Lonchura striata: one gene and its partner. The protein of the gene in region 2 interacts with the protein of the main gene of each other region in a biochemical or structural test. Links are inferred from orthologs where the notes say so. Each region holds a gene or a part of one and is shown on either strand. Other genes may lie near its edges.

What was found.
Region 1: the proteins of PTPRB (region 2) and CNTN1 form a complex in vitro, tested with the Homo sapiens proteins (2 studies listed by BioGRID). The link is inferred for Lonchura striata from reciprocal best matches to the Homo sapiens genes PTPRB and CNTN1.

Annotation. Positions count from the first base shown.
Region 1 is NC_134607.1:38,101,470-38,113,498, reverse strand, and holds the start of CNTN1 (contactin-1), read right to left. Parts: upstream 5,378-12,029; 5' UTR 5,260-5,377; intron 1-5,259. UniProt on the Homo sapiens protein: Contactins mediate cell surface interactions during nervous system development.
Region 2 is NC_134607.1:45,024,695-45,036,613, forward strand, and holds the start of PTPRB (receptor-type tyrosine-protein phosphatase beta), read right to left. Parts: upstream 6,045-11,919; 5' UTR 5,416-6,044; coding exon 5,361-5,415; intron 4,084-5,360; coding exon 3,694-4,083; intron 1-3,693. Other genes in the region: PTPRR (receptor-type tyrosine-protein phosphatase R), read right to left, coding at 7,273-7,366. UniProt on the Homo sapiens protein: Plays an important role in blood vessel remodeling and angiogenesis. Not necessary for the initial formation of blood vessels, but is essential for their maintenance and remodeling. Can induce dephosphorylation of TEK/TIE2, CDH5/VE-cadherin and KDR/VEGFR-2.

The DNA of each region.
Region 1 (12,029 bases), about 6.9 Mb from region 2:
ACCCGATTCGTTTTTCCTATGAATTTAAAGATGAAGAACTACAACTTGCTAACATAAGTGTTAATTGACAAAGCTACTGAATCCTATTATAATCTCCCTGAAAACAGACCTATAATGAAACACCAAGCCTAACTAATCTACAGCAAATCTAGTAGTGCATTTAAATACAATTACCAATAAAAACTATAAAGGGAATTCAGTCTGTAGCATTATTTTGTTCACACATTGAGTATTTTGTCTTTTGGCACAACTTTCCTTTCCCTTGCAAAAAGTACTGTTCAGACTGTATTTTGACTTTCTCCCACCACTCCCTGAGAATTACAGAATAACCTCATAGGATATTTCATGCTGTAAGAGAAGTCAGAATAAGGGATGTCACAGGATAATTCATATTGTAAGGGATATCAGGAGGTTTACAGCCCAACCTCCTGCTGTAAGCTAAGACATTTGGTCAGGTTACTGGGGGCTTTATTTTTTCAGTCTTGAAAGATTTCAAGGAGAGAAAGTGCACAACTTCTCTAAGTAACCAGTTCCAATGCTTGACTGAACATATAAACATCCCTCTTTGATTTTTACAAACAAATTTAATTTAGCACCTGGTAAGCTGAAGTGCATTACTTATATTTTATGGAAAAGAAAACCAATTTCATGTGACTCTAATGCAGCAGTAAATTCAAGTCCATGTCTAACAACTCGACTACTGGCTTAACTAGGAATGACTAATAGTAACACTTCTGTTCAGCTCTTGATGAACTGGAGAAAATTTAACTGTCTATAGTAAAATAGGATGTTTCCAATAAAGCTATAAAAAGATCACTTATCTGATGACTAATCCTGATCTCTGTCTCCAAGCTAACTCATTTGCATGGGACCAACATATAATCTATCTGCTATGTGTCAATTATAAAAACATTACATAAATAAAAGCATAGGACTTGTCAAATATGTATCTTTCTATATCTTCATTTTAAAACACTCTATCACATTAATTATTCTGTCTGTAGCACTAACCATAGCTCGATCATCCCATATTTCAGACACAAGAGCTACTAAGTTATTGCAAATATGATTTTACCACATCCAAAATACTACCTTATGTAAACAAAACTACTATGGTGCAGTGGAAACTCCACCAGTTTTATCCAGATCTCAATTCAGTGAGATGTTTACATCATCTTTTTGTAAGTATTTGTCTCAAGAGGTTGTAGAAAATCCTTGAGAAAAAATGAAAGAAATTAGTATGAATACAAACAAAACCAAAATAATCTGCTATTTTATTTGCCAGCACAGAGCCCTTCAAAACTTAGCTGAGTTAAGCAAAAACACAGGATGCTACAGTCAGATTTGCTGATTTCTCTGCATAAATAGGATTACTGAGGTTGCTTGGTATTTCTGTAGTTTACTACTACTTGCAACTTTGTCAAAGTGTCCTGTGTGTCCTTGCTTTCTGCCAATGCATATCAAACACACATGAGCCACATAGAAAAATTTAAGATTTCAATTTTTAAAAAGAAACAATGAAGAAAAGCCAAAAAATTTTTCTTCAAAAAATGTTTGTAGTCACAAACTGCAATGGCTTGAAGCCATCAACATAGACAGGCTTTGAGTTAATGCTATACTCTTTCATTTTCTCTGAAAATATAACAAAGACCAACCAACTTTTAAGAAGAAGTACTGTGTTGTTTCAGTGGAAAAGAACAAAAGCCACCTTACAGTCTCTGAAGAATAAAAATTGAGACCAATGTCTGCTAAAAGCACAGAAAAAATGACTGGAGACTGCTGAAAAGAGACTAGACTGGGCTGACATAGCAAATCAGGATGAGGAGGCTCCAAGGAATAAGGGAAAGGTAATGGAAGGAAACCTGACAGGAAAAAAGCAAGGATACAGGACTGGATGAGATATGAAACCAAAATCTGGAATGGTCAAGACCAGAGATACTTAAAACACTGAGACCAGCTACAAGATGACAAAGGTGCTGTCATTAGGATACATATAAATGATGAAGTGAAAAGGACTGTGCTTGCAGAAGTCTAGCAAAAGAGCCCTCATGCACCACAACACAGTGGTGCCTACAGTGCAAAGGACTTCAGTCTTGCACCACTTTCCCACTACCCAAGCAAATACACTACAAGTTACACTATTCTGTTTTATCACTGCTGTAAATAAAAGGGACTGCACTCTTATAATATCACTCATGATGGTAAAAGTTCAGGAGTTTTTTGCAAAGGATTAAACTTTTCTGATTCTTTTTGTAACCACTGTAGGTCCAATACAGTAAAAAAATAAGAAATTTACTTAAAAAATTGAAATTTTTCATCTTTTTCTTGATTTGTTGTTTGTAGGCTTCTTTGTTTTGTGTTTTTTTTAATTCCCTATAATTTAATTTTCTAGGTTTTAAGAACATTTATGGGACATGTATGCATATTTTACTTCACAAACAATACAAAAGAACATTATTATGGTTACTAAATCAAGCACTCAAAAGGTGTAAAATGACAAATTGTTGTCTGTGCAACCATAATTAACTTCCCTTGAGTTTGTTTGGTTTTTTACAATATACTTAAATAGGCATGTGCTTCTTATTCAAAGTTACCTTGCCACTGAAGATGATACAGAACTTAAAGCAGGTAGGATCTCTTGTTTTATCTACTGAAGAACTGAGCTTGCAGAAAGAAAAAGGGACAGGGGCTGTATAATATGCCACAAAGACTTTAATGGCTAACATTCTCTCGATCATAGTTTTACTCGTTTCCCTTACTGTCACCCAGCAAACCATTTAACCTAAAACTTCCATAGTTTGTAATTAACTGTAAATTCCTCTTTTTCCCCATTTACTGTGCAGATACACTCACAGAAGTGGAGCAGTCAGGACTGTTACAAAAAGCAGTAGCAGGTATAACTTCAGGAAACATATTTAAAATAATTATAGAAATTTCAAACTGGACACCAAAAATGAGTGAATACTTTTCACCTAACCCTCTTTGTGCTTTTCTTCACCATCTGTAGAAGTGTCCTCTCACCTTAGGTAGTGTTTGATAAACTACTAGTACTTTGTAGGGCATTCTGATCACATACTGATAAGCCCTTTAGCAAAGATCACACAGATGTTATCAGTTCTGTCTTCAAAGCAGAGCTGAGTAACACTGAATAAATAAATCATGGGCTCACACAATGATCAATGAAAAATACTGAATTCTCTTAAGTGAGCTCCACCTATCCCATGCAGTGAAAGACAGGATTCCAGTGGAAAAAAAAATAGTATGTGATCATGTAATTAAGACTGTATAAGAAGTACATGCTCAAAAGGCACTTTAAAACCTCTTTTCCATAACCTTAATAACAAGGGATTTCTCTACAAAAGGTGTTTAAGACAGACACTCAATTTAAAATTCTATAAATTCAAGTAGGTTCTTGCTTTACCATGAAGTTGTGTTGAGGTTGCATTACTTTTTAGCACCACTTAAAAGTGAAACTGGAAATCTCTTGCTGGTTTAGAACAGCATTGTGGATAGTACAAATATAGACCAGGACAGAAGTGTTTTACCTAGGCTATTTTTACTTTTTGCAAAATTTAGAGATAGTAAAGATCTATTTTTTTATAATGTTAACTATTGCTAAAGACAAAAACTAAGCAACTGATAGCATATAACATACATTTGAATGCAAACGACCAAACAAAAGATTAATACTACCAACAGTTTTCAGAAACATTAAGGTGAGTTCTTATTAAAGAAATTTTGGTGCATCATCATTTATAGAAGAACATGGACCAAAGATCATCCTTTCACAGAGATCTTTACAGTATTTGCACTACAAGGACATTCAGAAGTAACTAATCATAGATTAAAAAAAACTGCGAATTTTTATAACTTCAAGTTATTTCAGAAAGCTTCCCCTGTTTTACGTAATTTCAAGGCCTGTGCTCATGACTTTTAGTGGTTTACAAGTAATACTATATAAAAGAGTGAAACTAAGTAATATATTTGTTAGTAACTTCTTTGATACAGCTACCGCTGCACAGGTGGCTGAATTTTAAAGGCGTATTTTTCCCTAAATTGTGCAGCCTAATAATTACATAATGGCTTATTTTTTAAACGTTAACAAACCCTTTTTAATGTGCTTTAACATAACTGTATTATAATACTGTTATGTAACTATGACTATGCTAGAATGTAACACTCGAAAACATTCCCAGCTCAGAGGTCACACTTTACTTTCATTACTAAATGGAGCATAGTTGATTAATTTCATAGATAATCTCCCGTAGATTTCATAAACAGAATTAAACAGCGCTTCATAGAGCAGCTGCAATTCCGAAAGAGCCGAGGTGCAGCTCGGGCGCGGCACCCCGGGGCAGGCTCAGCCCTTCCAGGTGCCTTTAGCGGAGCCCAGCAATGGCATCTCTGCCCTCGCCAGCAGGTTACTGCAGCCGCTCCGAATTACTGACATTTACGGAAACGCCGCACTGAAAAAAAGGCATTATTAGCATTTTACAAGGAGACAACAAAGTGAAACGCTATCATTTTTACTGCAAGAAGGTGCACTGAAAAGAGGAAAAAAAAAAAAAGCCAAACCAAAAACCAACACCCTTTTCAGGCCGACACCACTAAACACACCCAACACGCAGATAAATCGGCGTACGGCGCAAGGCTGCGGCTGCTCCGGCACACAGACCGTGGTGCTGAAATGATGCGCTGGAAGACCACGGCAGGGACGCGTTTTCACACGCGCTGCCAAAATCCATACGTGTGCCGTAGGAAACGGAGGGGAAACCGCGCACGAGGCTTTCCCTGCGGCAGCATCCCGCTCCCTCGCCAGCCAGCATCCCCCCCCGAGCCCACGACCGGCGGGGACAGCACTCGCCGGGGATTACCCGGGGCGGGCGGCCCGCTTTCGGCAGCCCGGGGTGCCGAGTAATCCCCTGCCCAGCGGGCAGGCGCCCCGGGAGAGGGCGGCTTCCCCGTGCCCGCCCCGCTTCCCGGGCCGGGAAAGGGCCGCCGCCCCCGGCCGCCGCAAAGCAGCGCTCCCACGCGGGGCCGTGGCGGGCTCTGGGCTGCCCCGCCGCCCCGCACCTGCCCCAGCTCCCCGCGTTCCCCGGGCCGCACCGCCGGAGTAGCGACCCCCGCCGCTGAGGGGACCCTCCCGGGCGGTCCCCGTCCCTAGGACCGCGCGGTGCCGGGGGCCGCGCGCCGCTGCGTCCGTGCCGCTCGAACGCGGGACCGCGCTGCGCTGCGGGGGCCGAGCGAGCCCTGCCCTACCTGCCGCACGGCCGGGCTGTCACCCCGCGCCGTCCGCACCTCCGCCGCGCACCGGGCACGTCTGGGCCGGCGCTGCCCGGCCGGCGCGGCTGGCTCGGCTCGGCTCGGCGCGTCCTTGCCCGGCTCGGCAGCGCTGACAGCCGCCCGCGCGCCCCCGCCCCGGCCGCGCGCGGGGCCGCCGGGGCCGAGCGGGGCCGAGCGGGGCGCGGGAGCGGCGGCGGCTGATTGGACGGGGGTGATGTCACTCGTGCGCGCGCGAGCGGGCGGGAGCGCGCGCGAGCGGGGCGGTGAGGCGGAGCGGGCGCGAGCGGGAGCGGGTGCTCGTGAGCCCCGTCCCCGGGGCGCGGGCGGAGAGCGCGGTGGAACCGCGCGGCGACAGCGGCGCGAGGGGTGCCCCGCGGCCGGGGCGCGCCCCGGCCGGCAGCCGGGATGAGAGGGACCCCTGCAGAGCGGGAGGCGCGGAGGTGATCGGGGCCGGGGGCGAAGGGGGCTCGGCATCCCTCCGTCCGCGCCCGTCCCGCGGGCCGTGACACGTGCCTGCAGGTGGAACGGCTGCCCGCGCTGTCCAGGCAGCCTGCGCGGCACCGGCTGCTGCGCTCGCAGAGACACACGGACTCACAGACACCCAGACACAGGCGCCGACTGATGCAGGCACAGCCGCGCGGGCACAGGCGTGCACGCTGCACATGCCCAAAGGGCGGTGAAGCCCGAGTTAAGCTGCTGCCCCTACCCCCGAGCGTGGCTCTCAACCGCCAGCATCCACGGACCCCGTCAAAGAGGCGGGATAGACCGCAAGGGTGCAGCTGGGCAGGAGTCGTGATGCTCGGAGCCCCCGAGGGATGTGCTCGTCAAGGCCAGCTTCAAACTTTCAATCCATACCCCCCTCACAAACTAGGAGAATGATTTTGAAATGACACGATTTGTCTTCAGCCTCAATTTATTTTCTGAACTTTTCATCTTCTATGTAGGAACGTATTTCTTAATTCTTTTTCATTACCACAAAGACTAGCTGTTTATTTTTGAAGCATCTATTTGTCCCTTGAGCCCAAGTCTTATGGTGTTTTCCACATTATAAGTTGCAGAAATCAAAACTCCCAGAGGGAAAAAAAAGGATAAATCTGGGGCTTGCTGCATACCCCCTTGTAGAAAGCAAACAGGTCCAGAAAAGTGGAGACACGATAGTGGATAGAAGATTCATGAGCTGCCAAATTTGTGAAGACTGCTGCAGGAAGGGCTCATGAGGGACAGAAGATGGAACCTAAATATTTTGAGACACGAGTTCACCCTGTATATGAAATGCAATTTTTGATGGCAGCAGGAGCTGCAACCATGACACTTTATATTTACAGAGAGTGACAGATCAGACAGTTACTAGCAGGCACAGCAGAAATAACACATGACTAGGTTGCACTACCTGCATGACAGTAACGACCAGAGAGTGAAAAACTTCAGCAAGTCCAAGACCCTGAGACTCCTTGATTCTTCATGATCAATCCTTATGGAGTAACACCAAAGCAACATGCATTTCCCCCTATTGAAAAATCAGGTTTCTGCAGTTCCTTTATTCCCCCAACACGTGAAGTAAGGAGGGGAGGACTGCTTCACTTACAGCTGTCATCTTGGGTAGTTCTCACATGTCTGAGAGGATTTGAACTCTAAAACGCAAGAGAGCACTGACTTTGCAGCTTTACTGTTTGCTGATTGCACCAAATACGGTTATGTCAATTTCAGTGAGCTCATCCTCTCACAACTGTATGGATCAGAAGCTTGCTCAAGAATAAAAAAGATGGTTCATAAAAACCCCAACCCAATAGATTTTCATTTAATCATTCCAGAATTGGAGGTTTAGATATGGGTCTTTAATTCCTGTGTCTTAATCCAATACTGACAATTGTGTGTATACACAAACATTCAGAAGAGGAGAAGAGCTGGCACTGTTGGTGTGCTCTCTAAGAAACAGGGACAGAGATAATATGCAAGAAAATTGGGTGGTAGGAAAACTGCAGGAAAAAAATGGGAACTAAAGACTGGACAGTGTATTAAGCTAAACAGGATAGATTATGCATATTGGCACAGTATATAGTCATGAAACAGAAGGCATTTGAAGTATTAGTGAGCTTTGAATCTCTGGCACAGACCTCACACAAACGTCAGTTTTTAGACCTTAACTGCTTTCTTGTGGTGAGGACTATAAAATAGTTTCAGCCCTTGCTAGGATTTAGAGCAGCCTTACAACTGCTCTGAATAGCGTTGGTTGTTCATTGCCTCAGGCTGCATTTGCTGCTAGAAGCTGTAAAACACAAAGCTCTAGGACGAGTTGGTGAAGAAGTGCTGTGGCCTGTCCCCTCTGATGTACAGCACGGGCTGCTATATATCTGCCACTGTGCATTTAACACTTGCAGTACTCTCTGAAGGATGATCCTCCCTAATATTCAGTAATTTCAGTTAATGATTTCATTGCCAGAAGTTAAGATGGCTGTCTCACACATTTTGAAGCAGGGTATTTTTTTACTTAAATATACCAGTGGGTGTCTCTGCACTGCACAGAACGTCTCTGTCTCTCCCTTTGCTTGATTCAAATGTCCTTTGCCAGAGTCAGGGAGTCAGTAAAGCAAAACAGGAACAGAAGACATGCTAAAAGCAGAAACAGAGTGCTTTCATCACGCTGTGCATTTATAATCATCAGCTGCTCGTTATTCTGTAACACTTTCCCTACAATCAATGTATATTTTAGTTCATATACATACCTACATCCCTGGGTACTTGATTCCAGTGAGGAATTTGCTCCCTAGAAAGAGTCAAAAGTCATTTGGATCCAAACATAAGGATGAAATAGACATAGCTTCAGCCTGCAGCACTTATGGAGGGACAGCAACCACTGACCTCACTTAATATTTTTACAACACTCCTAGCATCCACCATGGGAGGAAGAGGGAGGGGGAAGGGAAAATGAAACAGGGACAACAGCTTTCTCTTATTGTAATAAAATGGAGACAGAGGCCAGCATAAGCTTTATATACCCCTACCCAGTCCCAGCAATCTTTCAGAGGATTAATGAGATTAGAAGCCTCTATTCTTTTGCTAATGGCTGTTTATTTGAAAAATTACTTTTCTTGTAAACATACAGGAATGGCCATATGTTACTCCATACTCCAGTGCTGCCTTGGGATACTACTAAAAAAAAAAAAAAAGAGAATGAATATCATGTTCCAACTGCAAATTTTACAAAAAACAATTAATTTGCTCTTCAACTCTTTGTCTATGGAGTCTTACCTGGTTGAGGGCAATGTATTAAAATAGATTAAGACTATTCCTTTGAAGAATCTTGCTGTAGCTTATGCTGCTGAAAGAAGGCTAACAATCCACTTTAAAATCCATGGTTATTTGAATTCCACATGTATATTTGAAGAGATAATTTGAACTCTGGCTATACCCAAGCCTGTCATCCATGAAATTGACACATGCAAGTTCCTTTTCATTGCTTCCAAATGTTGCAAAATATTTCCCATGATATTAAATATTTTCACATGAAAGGAAGTTTTAGAGTCAGACTTAACTGAGCTGAACACTATTTTTGTTGAATTCAAAGCTTTTCAGAGTGAATGAAACATATCAGGAAGGTAATTTTAATTATAGAGCTTAAAATAGAACATACGGCAAAGACTTAAGGTTGAAATTAGATTCTGTATCATATGAGTTTATTCTCAATACCTTGAAGTTTAATCATTGAGGCTATTATTTCCTATGCCTGATCTCTTTCATGAATCAAATGTGTCTGGAAAATGATTCAGACATTTTCGAGGATGCTAAAGGATAAAATTCAATACTTGAAATGGGAAACAACTTTTTTAGCCATTCTTGTAATGGGAATACTGTCCCTATATCCCTTCTCAGAAGAGATTAAGAACTTGAGGTCTGGCAAAAAAAAAAAAGTAGCTTAGAGCTCAGACAGGTTTTTCTGTACAAACAAAAACATTAATATCTGACAAAGAACTGGAGCAGGAGAGAAATTAAGAGGATGACATCGTGATAATATATTTACAATCTGTTGATCACTGACTGGTACCATATGCTCTGAATACCGGTCCAACTTTGGTCATTAGGTTGCTGTTGTAAGATGCACTGGAGTTTGTTTAAGAAGCAGTCACCTGTGTCATGGGTTGGGTGAATATAAAATTAGATTTTCCTCTCAGCAGGCAGATCTGTCAATCTACCCACAAATGAAAATATTAGCTTTTGCTTTAAATACTTTTCTTTATGAGCTATTACCAGGATACCACAGCACAGGCAACTCATGCGCAACTTCAGAGAAGCAGAAATTGCTCAGATTCTCTGCAGAGTCAAAAGTACAATCTCTCACCAGTCCAGTCCATATTCCATGGATGCATATAGCAAGATGCATAGACACAGGCTTCTCACTGCAAAGCAAAGGACAAAACCAAACCAAACATTTTTACAAAGTAGATTTTGTGGCCCTGTATCAGCCATTTCTCACACATGATGTTGATTCTATTGATTACTGTTGATGCCCATAGTTGTGCACTTAACCCAGGTGATAGACCATCATCTCATGAGCATAAAATTCTGCACTTTACTGACCGTTTCATATACAGGGGAGATATTTCAGTTTTATATGTGAATATTTGCATAAATATTATGGAAAAAGAGTACTAGTACTTATTGCTGTTACAAGTCTTTAAGAGGTATTGTGTTACCATCATTTTCTCAACCTAATCTTTTTTCTCACCCTAATCTTATGCATTAGAATTTTGCAAGGGCTTTGGTGGTTTTCTTCTAAGAATTCATGTCTCATTCACTATAAAAAGTGAATATATGTAATACAGCATCTCTGTAATACTTCTTTGTGTCTGAAACAATCAACTGATTCAGGAATAATTTGCAGCTAAGTGGTGCTAAGTTAGAATTCCTCTTCTTTTTTCATTGTGACCATGAGTGCATTTCCTGATGTTCTCCAAGGTTCCCATCTTCAAAACCTTTCTTCCAAAAATACAGGTATGACAAGATTTTAGTATCTTCATTTCAGTATATGCATTTAAGATACAAAATGACATAGGGAAATTACTAAATAAATTGCAAATATCTCAGAGGCTAGATGCCCTGTTTTTTTCAGAAATGCTAAACATTTTCCATATTATTTATAGGCAAGGGAGAAGGTAGATAAGATTACCTAAAGTCAGGCCTGAAACTGGCACTTCAAGCTGGTTGAATGGAGAATAAAGAGCACATCTACTGTTGTTGAAAATAAAAATGACTGACGTGGCTTGCACAGTTACACATGGACTGTGAGAGATATGAAGCTTAGTATCTGTCTTGATAACTTCTTTTAAGCACTTTCTGCTATTGAAATCATGCTGCAGTGTAAGGTTTTCAAAAGAAAATACACCTATTTCAAAGAAAGTCACTTCATTCAAAATTCAGTAACAATACAAACATAACATCTTTACTTTGGACTCGATTTTTTGTGTTCTTTCAGCATCATTTAGTGTGGGTTATATATAATGCATATTTCTATGTCACTTTTTATTTGCTTTTTAAAATAAAATATTCATCAGCCATACAAAAATAAAGAAATAATTTACTTCAAAGAAAAGGAATTTCTTTACAGCAGGGTTCAGAATATCTGTAGAGGCTACAGCATGCTCCAGTTTTCTGAACAGTATTAAACAATTCTTTGATGATATTTTAAGAAGCTCTTCTAGAAGGAGAATTTCTGATGGAAAACTTAGTCAAAGGAGGTGCCTGTGTATTATATACTTAGCACTAATACCAGATGCTTTCCCCTAAGGTGTGGCAGATGCCTTGGACTTCTAGTACAATTGTATTTGCACTAGCCTGCTAGTCATTGCTTATTAGCAATGTGGGATTTAACCTCCTTTTCCTAAATCTTATCTGAAATCTGCCTGACAGGACAAGATACAGAAGCCAATACAGCCCTGCCTGATTGTGGGAGGAAACAGGAGAAAGATTAGTGCTAAAAATTGTATGTCCACTGTTATCTCTGCTGTTAGTTACCATCAAGGTTAGTAGCGGGTGGCTTCTTTGTCACTGCCATTGTCTTCAGCTGGGGCATATCGGCATGTCTGTGTCAAGGCTGGAATGCTGCAGTGCTTGGAAAACTATTCTGAGAAGATCTTGCTGTTCAAGTGTCTAAAATAACCAATATATTAGCTCAGCAATAAAGACACAGCCAAGCTTACTGCTTGCTGACACATTTGCCCGTTGATCACCAGTACAGGAGATAAGGTGTATCAAAATGATGTATTGGAACAGCATCAAAATTTATCACCAAAGACTACCACCATCTTCACTTAGTTTTAATTCTTATTAAGCAGAACAGCCCTGCTTAAATATCACATTTTCTCTGTATCTTTGTTTTCTTAATATCCTGTTTTAGGTAGCCTAACCTCATCTTTATTGGCTTCAAAAGTTGTACTACAGCTGTTCTTTCCTTGTGTCCTGATAAGATTAGGCATTGTGTGGATGCCATGGTGAGCCTTTATGTGACAATGTAGATGCTGAAAAGAATGCTTTAGCCCTACAGCTACAACATGAGGGACACAGAAATCTGTCACATGCCTGCTAGTGCTAATGAAAAGGCTACAACCTGAAACAGATACAGATACAGATAGATACAGATACAGATACAGATACAGATACAGATACAGATACAGATACAGATAGATGATATAGAGAGAGATGATATTGAGATAGATAGAGGCATGTATGCGTGTTCCTGTGTACAAATGGAT
Region 2 (11,919 bases):
TAAAGTAACTTGAGGAGATTAAAATTAATTTCAGTGGATGTATTTTTGGAAAAATATTTTGGGTCAACTTAAGGGTAGAAAGAAAATATTGTTTCTCACTGTTCTAATTTATGCTGAAGAAATTAGTAAAAATTATACGCACAAAAAGCTACAACCGGTAGTGAACTTATGTATCATTATTGCAGCATCTACAAACACTAAAGGTGTAGAAAGCTTAAAGCCTAAAGATATTTAATTTACATTATTTCAAAAATAAGTAAGAGTTTCTGCCTTTTCTGTGCTTCTGCCACCTTTTTTCTGTGCTTTTCCACCTTCCCCAGAGTCCCAAGAAGATGCATTTGTCTTCCCTCCCTATGTTCTGCAGTTGCTACTGCTGCTCCAGTGGTTCAGAGCATGCTTGGAGTGTGCACTGCTCTGGTCTCTTCTGTGCTCCATCTCAGCCACTGAAGCATCAGCAGTGGGATGTGAACTTAGCTGAAGTTCTGATTATGAAGCAGCTAAACTGAAAGGGGGATAAGGGGAAAAGAGAAGCTTATGTGACAGAAATGACCCCAGACAAGAACCAAGGCTAGGAAGGAACAGCATAAACGTCAGATGGCACATCAGACTTCAGCTCATACCTGGTATCTGGTATTTTGTCTATTTCAGGCTGGAAACAAACAAGAGATAGAAAGATGTTCTAGTTGTTATTCAAATTCCTTGTTCAACATGTTTTGTATCTTTGTAGATCCCACTATGGTTCTTCAGTGCTTGGTACACAACTGTAAGTACACCCTCCATAAAATCAGCTACTCTTTTTGAATGTCTTGGTATCCATGGATCTGGCTTGTCCCTACCATGTATGATATGATATAAGAGAAATGCAATGAAGAACATCATATTACAAAACAGGTAGTGTCACCTGCTGTATCCAGACTGCTCTACAGCCTGTGTGACAGTCTCTAGAGCTCAGTGCATAGCTGCAGCATACAGCTTGGCCTTGTGTCTACTCATTTGAAGTAATTCCCTACTTAGTGAATTAATCTTTGCCCAGCAGTGGTTTTGAGGTTTGCTGGTAATATTCAAGGTGCCACATAGCATTGCATCTGTTCTTAGTTGGATATTTTATTGAAATTAACCTACCCAGAACAAAAGCTTGTAAGAATTGCTTATGCACTTTAGGAGTGACATCAGTGTTAGTCTGTCAGCATTAATGGTGGGTATTTGTTCCACAAGTGTTATTTACATGCAACATTCTTTGTTCTTTTCAGTCATCCTGACTCTATCTCTTCACCTGCCCCATCTTTTCCTCTTGCCTGTTTCTATTCCTGGTTTCTGAGCTTAGAAGCTCTGAACCCAACAGTGGGCTGGTGAAAAGCAGGCTTTAGCATTACAGAGATTTTTCTCTCTCTGCCCAGAATGTCTTCATGAATTTGGTGGGAAATGAAGTCTCACTTTCTCTGTTGCTTTATGACCATTCTTCATTTTAGCTGTTTCAATTAGAGAGTGATTCAAACTTGATTTTGTGTGAGAAGGACTGTTTCCTGCTAGATTTGGAATTACCTCTGAGTGAGCAGAGATGGGCTACATTCCCAAATTGATCCTGGTTTCCACAAACAGTCATTTAGATCAGGACTGTTACAAAACATGTAAATCCAAACACATCTCAGATGGCTGATTTGAAATCCAAATCCAAGCTCAGACTTTCCCCAGGCTCAGAAAAATAATGTTTGATATTTGAGTAAGGTCCAGAATAAAAGGTACTTGCAGCTATTGGTTTTGGAGCTTGTACTCTATCTGGGTGATGTTTGAGATGCAATTCAGTAAGCTAGTCCTATGCCAAAATAAAACTCTTTTTATGAGTACTGTGAAAATAGAGGGTAAATTATAACAAAATGTGGTCTTAGTCAGGAGTAGAAAAACTCCAAAGATTTTGTTCATTTTTTTCTATACTAGATAAATATAGACCAAATATGTTATTTTAGGCAGATCCACTTCTGCTTGTATTGAAAGCAGATAGATGTTCTTGGAAGACTAACGTTACACATTTAGCATTGAAGATTTTGACATGCATATGGATGCTATGATCAGAATTGGGGGTATTAGATATTGCTCTCATAGTACTTACTACTATTTGAAAAATTAATCTCTTTGCACTGCTTCCACTTTATATTCCTATATTCCTAAAATTCTTAGTTAGGTATTGAGGATTATAGTGTTTTGTTGATTTTTCAGCAGAACTTCCCAGACCTGTCAAAAATAAGGCAAGTAACACTCTTAGAAAGGATTTGCAGGCCTGAATATGGAGAGAATTTCAGGAAAATCAAGGTAAATTAATTTAAGAACTGAGAACAGTAAACAGATGAGAAGGTGCTTTAATATGCCATGACAATTGTCTTAGTGCTTATTGGTCTTAAATTGCTTCTTCTCTTAGGATGATTAAGAAAAGTGTGTAAGGTTACTTTAACTTGGTTAGGCCACACTCCATCCAGCACACTACCTGTGCACCTCATCTGAACTGTTCCTAGTGTCTTTGAATATGCAAGCCATACACACCCCCAGGGACTTAAAATGATTTTGCCTGTTTAATTTCTAACATATATGGGAGGGCTGGGATGGCATCATGGACACTTTTTCATTTCCCGATTCTGCAAGCTATCCTTTCATACATCCACTCAGATGAGTAGTCCTGGTCCTATGAATAGAGTTCTTCAAGTGCAAATTTGCTGAAAAAAATTATACTCTGCCTTACAATAACTAGGAGTTCAGAAAGGATGAGGATTTGGTTTAAACATTCTTAAAACTTGAACATATGCAACAGTTTTAAGTCACAAAACTGATTTTTAACCCTGTAAAGACAAGAATTGACAGTAAAAAGATGCCTGTAGGTTGTTCTTATTTACTATGAAGAATTACTTAGTAGTGCACAAGAACAGTATTAACAAGTTTGCCAGGAAGGATTGACAATGGGACATTGAAGAAAGCATTATCAAGCAATATTCAAACCACTGTACCTTCCATTTTGCCATGGATATAGTAACCCACAACTACACAGATATACTGCTACATGTCTGTAGATATGTGCACAGACCTTTGCATTTCAAGGTACTATTCCAAGAATTTCTGAGACTTTTTGTTCAACTCATTAATCTCAAGATTTTGAGTGTTCTCATATATATGGCATCTAAGATCAAAATTACACTGAATAAACATGCAAATGTGCTAGCCATGACTGTTCGAATTATGCATTTAGGTTAATCAGAGAAATAATTGTGCATGTGTTGGATTTTCAGATGTCTTCTTGCCCTTGACAGATTGAATCTGGATTTGTATGATAAAATGAATGGGGAGGAGAACTTCTTTGCATCCACATTTTTGAAAAGTACTAGGAATCAGCACCCATAGTTTAGAAATGGAAAAAGGAAATGACACAATGTTAGTGACCTGAGGTTACATATATAAGCACATTGATCCAAAGATTGGGAGTAGACAAAAGGAGAGACATCCTAAAAATATAAAGTGGATTAAAAACAACAGTTGTGAGAAAGACAGCACTAGTCTCAGCTGTTCTTTAATAGTTCTCAAAATGTTTTTCAACTGTGAAAAACATTCTTCTGTATGAATAAAATATCATAATTTTTCACATTTGAGTTAGCATAACAGACATTTTTGTTACCAAAACTCCCAGGATATTTTCTTGAAGGAAAAACTCACCTTGCTTTGAGCACAGATTTACATAAACAGGTTTTCCTGTCTCGCTGGCTTTTAGCTGCATCCACGTATGAAGGTATTTTTTACTCCGCTTGGCCATTACCTTCTGACCTTGTTTTGTGAGGAAAAGGGAGCTGTTGGCCACCTTCAGGAGCCCATCCTCGTGGCAATTCCACCTGACTGCCTGGGGACAATCAATGATGACACTGCGAGATGACAGAGCAGGGCGTGTAGAGATGCTCAGGCACTGGGCAGACTTCACATGGAGGAGCCTGTCATCTGCCATCCACTGCCACTTCTGATTCAGGCTGGTCATATTGCACTTTTCCATAATGACTCCTCTCTTTTCTGAAAGACACTGCTGTTTCTGGACATGGATAATCAGAAACCCTTCTGGAAAAAGAAAATTCCAGAAAAATATGATTGATTTACACTTTTACTTGACAAAAAGCAAATTCTCAATGATTTAAAATAACTGAGCAAATAAATCTTTCTTCCCATTTTCTGTGTGTTGAACATTTAATGAAATTTCCCATAAGTTGAACCTATTTTAAAAAACCTTCCAAACACAACACTTATGTGATGCATGTGCTGGTAATGTAAATAAGAAAAATGCAAAACCCCAAGCTATTGTGGCAAGGTTCTCTTGACATGCATTATATATAAAAATAAGAAAAAATTAAACTGGATATAAAAGAAGTCCAAGAATTATTAACTTCAAACATCAGTTCCTCATTTCCCCTGCTGGAAAGCAAACAGATCTACATGCATTCTCAGTCTCTGTTTCAGTTTTACAACACAGACTTTTAAAAATATAATTTCCTGCCTAAAAGTTGTTTTAGTAAAGTTCATAATGTTTCTAAGGGAAACATATAGGAGGATATTCACAGATCTATGTGTCTCTCAATGTCTGTGTTACAGGAATGGGGGTTCTTTACTGATAGGAAGCACATCTGTTTTACTGGATTTATTCCAATGTCTCTATAGCTGTTAGCTTTGTGACGATTCCAATTCACGTAAGATTAGCTCTCTGTGTCACCACACTTAAAGATCAACACCAGCTACTCAAATGAAGAAAATTACAGAGCATTAATCAAAACCCCACAAAGCTACCAATGCAAAACACATACTTGTAACAGAATGCAGAATTGGTTATTTCAAATGCAGCCTCCTTGCCATATTGTGTTTAGGTTGTTCGTTGTTTTTAGTCGCAGTTACTCAGACATTTCCAGCCCCATTAGTTACAAAGTGCTAAACCAAATGTGCATTTATTTCCCTCAATTGATGTTGTCATTCCCCTGTTTTTACAGACCTGGTAATTTTCTAGCTAAGCATTACAGAAAGTTCTTGTATCTGAAATTTAATGAAGTATGAATAAAAGATAGGAATCTCCTGTCTGAAGCATTTATCCCAAAAACTCAGCTCCTGGATTGTCTATCAGGAGATCTTAAAAAAAGAAGATGTATCTCCAGCATAGAAGAAGACAGTTTATTTTCCTTTGGAAAGGAATCTAAACAGAATGGGCTGTGTTGGCCCTGCCCCTCATTCCTCTGGTACGAAGCCCAGAGTAGAGGTGACTTGGTTTCTGTAAGTCACTGGCTGTGCCGGAGGGCTCTGCTCAGTGGCAGAAAGAGCAATTTGGCAGAGGGGAAGTGGGGAGAGACACTTACCTGAGAATGCCAAGGCAAGACAGGTAGAAACCAGGACGTGAAATAAAGAATCCATTTTCCCTCTAACAACTCCCCATGCTTCTCTTAAAAAAACCCACCTCAGATAAGTGAAGCGAAGGCTAGGAAGGAAATGTGCCTTCACGGGGGAAAAAGTCAGTGACGAGCACTTCCTTCTATTCAATTGTTTAGGGGGGTTTTACAGTACTTTGTCCTTTTAATATGATTCTTCACTTTACTAGTTGGTTTATTTTGGAAAAATACAAGCAAAAGAGAAGTTTTCAAACACCTGGGAAATTAAAAGAGATTTTGTTGAATTTCTTTAGACTAAAAGAAAGGGGATCATACTTTTGTGTTATTTGTTGCATGTGAACTATTACAAATCTACAGGTGCTGACTAAGTATATTCTATATTATTCAGGAAAAAACATGTATTTTTTGTAACTCTACACAATCAAGCAAAATCTCAGTATATTTCTAACTCCACAAGTTCTAAAAGCCAAGTGGAGGGTGGGGAGGAAGGGAAAGAGGAGGAGGCAAAGCTCTGCCATCTGTAGCAAGTCTTACAGAAACTCCCCCTGAGGAATCAAGTGATGCTGGGTTTGCCTTCCCATCAGGTGGTACACCTTGCTCCATGTCAGCTGGGGATTGCCTGTGCCCTCTGGATTGGTTCCCAAGTGGTCAGAAGCCATGGTGCAGGCTGACCAAATTGTGCTGGGCTGAGCCTGTTTATAGGGGTACAAGAGTGTATGTGCATTAATTACTCTAGGCAAGAACAGACACTTCAGTTAATATTTTATATTTAGGGTTGTTTATTAGCAGTATGAAGCGAAGTCAACATCACTGCATTAAAAATCATTACACCCTGTAAACAGATCTCCCAGTGCTGTAAGCCATAATGCCAACTTCGTGTATCTCTTAAAAACAAACTTTTACTGAGCAATAAAGGAAACAGTCATAGCAGCATTTTCTTTCTTGTATAACCTGTCATGGAAGAGTCCATATCACTAAAGGTATCTATCTCTTACTGAAAGAAATAGACCAGATAAACAACATATGCAAAAATTTCTGTATTAACAAAAGACAGACAAATATTTAAAATCCTTACCATTTAATATATGCTACAAAGTTTCTTTTAAAAGTAGAATGACTTACACAATTTACAAATACACTGGATTCAGGTCTGTAGCAGAAGCGTGTTCTAAGACAATCAACAGTTTAGGGTAAATACATATACACTGAATAACAGACATTGTGCTCTGCAACTGCTCTGTAAGACCTACAGTAAGTACACATTTAATAGTTAATAGGATGAAGAACATATATTTCCATATAAAATATTAACTGCTTTTGAATATTTTCAAAAGCAAGATTAAAAAAAAAATTATTATCTCCTTTTTTAAATCCATAGTTGAACACTTGCAATTTTAGCAGCAAGAATATTATGTGGCCAAGGAACAAGCTCACCACATAATCAGTAATAGCACTTTACAGTACAGTTGACAGTCCATTCACAAGACAGTTTGCAAAACGTCAAAGCTTTTATACACTTGTTAAATATTTCTTCTGTAGAAGTCCCAATGTCCATCTGACTGTAGCAGGAGCACATACATACATTCCATATGGCAGATATCAGCATTACAGAATTAAACCCACCTTTAGATACATAGACAAAATCCATGTGTAGTTTCAGTACAGTACCTTCTTTATAAATCATTTTTGGGAAGCTCACAATACATTCATACATAGTAAGGGTCCAGCAATCTCTGTACTTTTGCCAAACCGTCCACAATCTTTTCAGAAGCTGGCCTCAAAGCCGTCTTTCCTACTGCAGTAAACGCCTTGAAGAAGCTGCTGGTAGGTAATGAAATAAATTACCTCAAGAGACTGATATTTGGTTTTACCCTCCTCAGCTTCACTGGACAGCTTCTGCAGAAAGTCTTCTTTCATACAGACTCAGTGCATGGTGCACAAATTCATACTGCTCGCTGGTCTGAACCATTCCACCCCTGGAAAGGAAAAAAACTGCACTGAAATCTTATTTCTTAAGACTGCAATACCCTCTAGCTCCTGCCAGCCCCATGACCACCAGATGACACAAGCCCTTTCTTAGTTTTTGACTTACAGTTTGCTTGAGTAAGTGGAAGATATTTGTCAGAGAAGAATTACATTCCTTATAACTTATGCCATACAGCACATGCCCCACATGAAAAATTCCCAGTTCCATCAGAGTAAGAATTAGAGAAGAAAGCATCTGGCATCTACAGTGTTAAAACCTACATTTCAAATTCAGTATGTTAAAAGAGAATTTTGCTCAATCACATGGGCATGGAAGGCCAGAGACATGGATGCAGCATTACCACTGATGGAGCAAGGAAGTATACAGAATCTGGCCTTTCATTTCTGTCCTTTACTAAAAATGTAACCTTCTGTGACCTGCAGATGGCCTGTGCAGAGAACAGCTCTTCCTGTCCTCTTTCTAACGCCTACAATGCATCCTGTCTGAACAGCCACCACCTACAAAATTTTACAGTGGTGAATCATTTCACCACCAACAATGCAAAAGAGTTTAACCTAACCATACAAAGAACTAGTTGCAGCCAGCTTGGATGAAATGCTTACTTTTTATACATTCACCTGATAACAATCAATTTTTCAGGTCTAAGTATGAGGATCAAGTCTCACATCTCCAGTACCAGTTACAGTGTGGAAGGAAGGGGATGTCTTACAGGAGGCAGATGTGATAGGAGTGTTATCATTAAGCTCTGAAATTAAACTGAGTCTTTCTGTCAATACTGAGGTACTTGAGGTCTCCCTTCTCATGAAGCAAGGCCTCAAGTTTACTTAATTCCACTCCTGTTATCTCATCTGCCAGGGTATTCAAAGCTATCTACTCTGCTTCTAGAAACAAGCCCTTAGTTCATCCTCAGTGTACCATGGAGCAGCCAGCAGCTAGCTAGCATCCCTTTGGGATGATGAAAGACTAAATGGCTTTAGTGAGAATGAAGACATTAAGATACATATCACATCTAGCTTCAGTTAGATCTTAATTGAAACATTTAAATTTGCAAGGTATTTGGATCCAGAGCACTGTTGGAGCCAGATATCTTGCAGGAGCAGGTCTGAAAATCTCATGAGATCCCTAACAACAAATATAGTACTGATATACTAAGCTATTTGAAAAATGGTAAGTAAAACTTCCTCAACAAGCATTGTCCTTCAGAATTAGAGAAGGTCATCTACAACCACAAGGCCCTTTAATTTTCTTCAGTGCTTCTGGATGGCTAAATGGCTATGGCAGGAAAATAATAATTAAAATAGTATCTACTTCTTTAAGCAAGTGACAGTGGTCTGCGTTCCTCCATTGAGCTCATGCAAATATAGAACATCTTCTGGTGAGCCTATTTTGCTATTCCTAGGAATAAAGTCACAGGTCCTTAAATGGTCCCACCCAACCCAAAATGAAACACTCATAGCTTTGCCAACAAAGGCATCCACAAATTTACAACTCTTGGCTGCCTTTTGCCTTCAGCTGCTTTCCTCTGTGCTTGTCCCCTGCCTGGAGATGAAGCGAGATATTAAAGGTGATGGGAGGGCTTTGCTCTAGTCTTCTGTGCTGCCTAGTCTCCTTCCTTCCTCCTTGCTGCTGCATCCTGCTCTGCCCACGCAGCTCCTTCGCAAACAGCTTCCCTCCCTGCCTTCCTCATCAATGTTCCCCCAAGATGTTCTCTAAGGGAGTGCACTTCCCAGGTTAGATGTGCTGTGTAGAAGGGTGGGGGAAGGGAACATATCCAGGGAGAAGAACTTTCTACAAAGGGCAGGTTAAAACAATTCTGGCTGCACTAGGCTGTTTGTGATGGTGATCAGTGCTGAAGCAACACACAAAACCCCAGGAAAGTGTGTGTAAGACTATGGGGGCTGAACCCAGCATCATGGCATCTGACCTGTGTTAGCAATTCAGAGGTTATGATGCTTCTGAACCTTGTATGGACTAACAGTCCATATGTCTGTCAGCTTAAGGGCATATGAGTCTTATTCAGTGGTTTTGACAACTTAGCCTTGTCAGTGCCATTATACATGGGATTTACTGAGCCATAGTACCACAAAATGGTTTGGATTGGTAGGGATCTTAAAGACCACCTAGTACCAAACCCCTGCCATGGACAGGGATACCTTCCCTTAAGATGAGGTTGTTCAGAACCCCATCCAACCTGGCTTTAAATACTTCTAGGGATAGGAAGGTAAAGAATTTCTTCCTAATATCTAATCTCTATTTACTCTTTCTAAGTTTAAAGTCATTATCTCTTGTCCTATCATTGCAGACCCTGGTAGAAAGGCTTTCTCTGTCTTTCCCATAAGCCTCTTTCATACTGAAAGGCAGCAAAAACATATCCCCAGATCCTTTTTCAGGATGAACAGTCTCACCTCTCAGACTTTCTTCATAGGAGAGGTGTTCTGTCCCTCTAACCATTTTCATGTCCCTTCTCTGGATCCACTGTAGCAGGCCCATGCCTTTTTTGTCCTGGGGAGCCCAGAGCTGGATGCAGCTCTCCAGGCAGGGTTTCACCAGAGCAAAGCAGAGGGGCACAGTCCCCTCCATGGACCTGCTGGCCACACGGCTTTAGATGCAGTCCAAGGTACACTTGGCTTTCTGGGCTGTAAGTGTACACTGCCAGCTCATGCCCAATTTTTCATTTACCTATCCCAAGTCCTTCTTAACTTCATTCTTATGCAAGGCTCACATTTCATAGCAGGGAATTATCTGTGATCCCAAGACATTGGTTTGTGGAAATGTTTGTGTGGAAGAGCATTTCAGGAGGAAATTTGCTCAAGGAGGGAGGTTTCCTCTCCTGTGTCCCTAGTGCCTAGAAGGGATGTAGCCACAGCTACAGCACCTGTGAATGTGCAGCCTTTGTCTATTTGCTAGTCCTCACTGCCAGCTACTCTGTGAGCTACTGGGCTCTCTGCTTCTTTGAGACTCTTTGGGCTAGTGCTTGGAAGAAACAGAACCTGGTATCCTGAGGGCTCAGGGACTGTGACCATCTTTGCTTGGGTAGCAGTGAGTGTATAAAAGGTCCTTTACCCTGCCCTCTGGCTTGCTGCTAGTGCAGCTGCATGCAGTCTGCTCCAGAATGAATGTGATGCAGGGTTTGGGATTATTTTTTTTTAACCTGAGGCCATTAGTCAAAACACTTAAACAATGAATTGACGCACACTGGAAACTCTTTTCATCCTGTCTGAGGAGCCAAGAGCAAAGTTATCGGATGTCATTCCAAGAATGTGCCTTTAAGGTTAAGAATGTGCAAAGTTTCTCGATGTCACAGTAAGTCTTGAAGATGCCTCACATCAAATATTTCCTGTTTCTGTTGCAAAATATAAAAAATGAACTGGGAATGAAAGCAAGCTGAGTAGACCTGTGAGTCTGTCTTTTTACAAACTCATGCAGACCATGGCTGTATTTACATCCTGGACCGATATTTTGAGTAGATAGCCAGATTTCCATTCTCTTTCCAAATTTATCTAGGATACTAATATGTAAAAGAAAGTTCATTAGGCAGATCCTCTCAACAAAATTGTGTTGTCAGTCAATAATGCTGAAAATCTGGATTGTTTTTTGTGTCTGAAATAGGGATATTAAAAGAGGCAGCTAAGACCAGAGTTTGCTTTAAAAGCAATGATAAAAAGATTCTTTCATAATAGAAATACTAAAATGGGGAAGAACTCTTCATACCTTTCTCAATAAGACAGCTATTCAGAAAAGAGGTTTGGAAATTTGTAGTTGGTAATTTAAAACAGAGTAAGCATTTTTCCCTCAGCTATTCCTTCTTATTTTTTTGCTGAGATTTTTAGGTCAATAACTCCCCTTGGAGAATTTTACACTCCAAGTGGCTCATGTTGCCCTGTAAAGATCATATTACAATGTTGAGTATGATGCAGTCATACGGGAGGGGAAGGCAGGGGAGATGACCCATAAACACAGTCAACTGTATGGATTCTGGTCTTTCTGTACTTCACAGTTCCAGTACCTTTCAGAGCTCTTCACAACACAAAAAATTCTGTATTAAACCTAAGATCCTTTTCAGCATTTGCACCCTATGTATTTTTTTTTTCATTTAAAGAAGACATGCATGTCAGAAGCAGTTAGGATACTTGCAATGAGAATAAACAATTTATGACCTGTACCTACAGCAGGAGAGGAGATTCCTCTATTCTTGGTGCAATCCTGTCTATTTGCTTTGTACAAAATCCTGTTTTTCCAAGCAGAATAAGAAAGAAAAGTACAACCCAACCAACAGTTTCCATTGTGCACAATACCCACATCCTCCTGTAAAACACAAATCCCTCTTCAGCCATGGTTTCACAAAACAAAGCACTCTGCAACAATATTGGCTTACACTGTTCCTGCTCCCAAGCTGTGAATTCAGTCAGGGAATTGATCTGACTTCAGAAAAGTCTGGAACAAATCCCTTGGTATTTTCTTAGGCTGGGTAAATTTGCCAACTCAATTCAAACGGACCCCCAGCACAGCTGAGGAAATAGCAACAGCACCAGATTTGTCTTT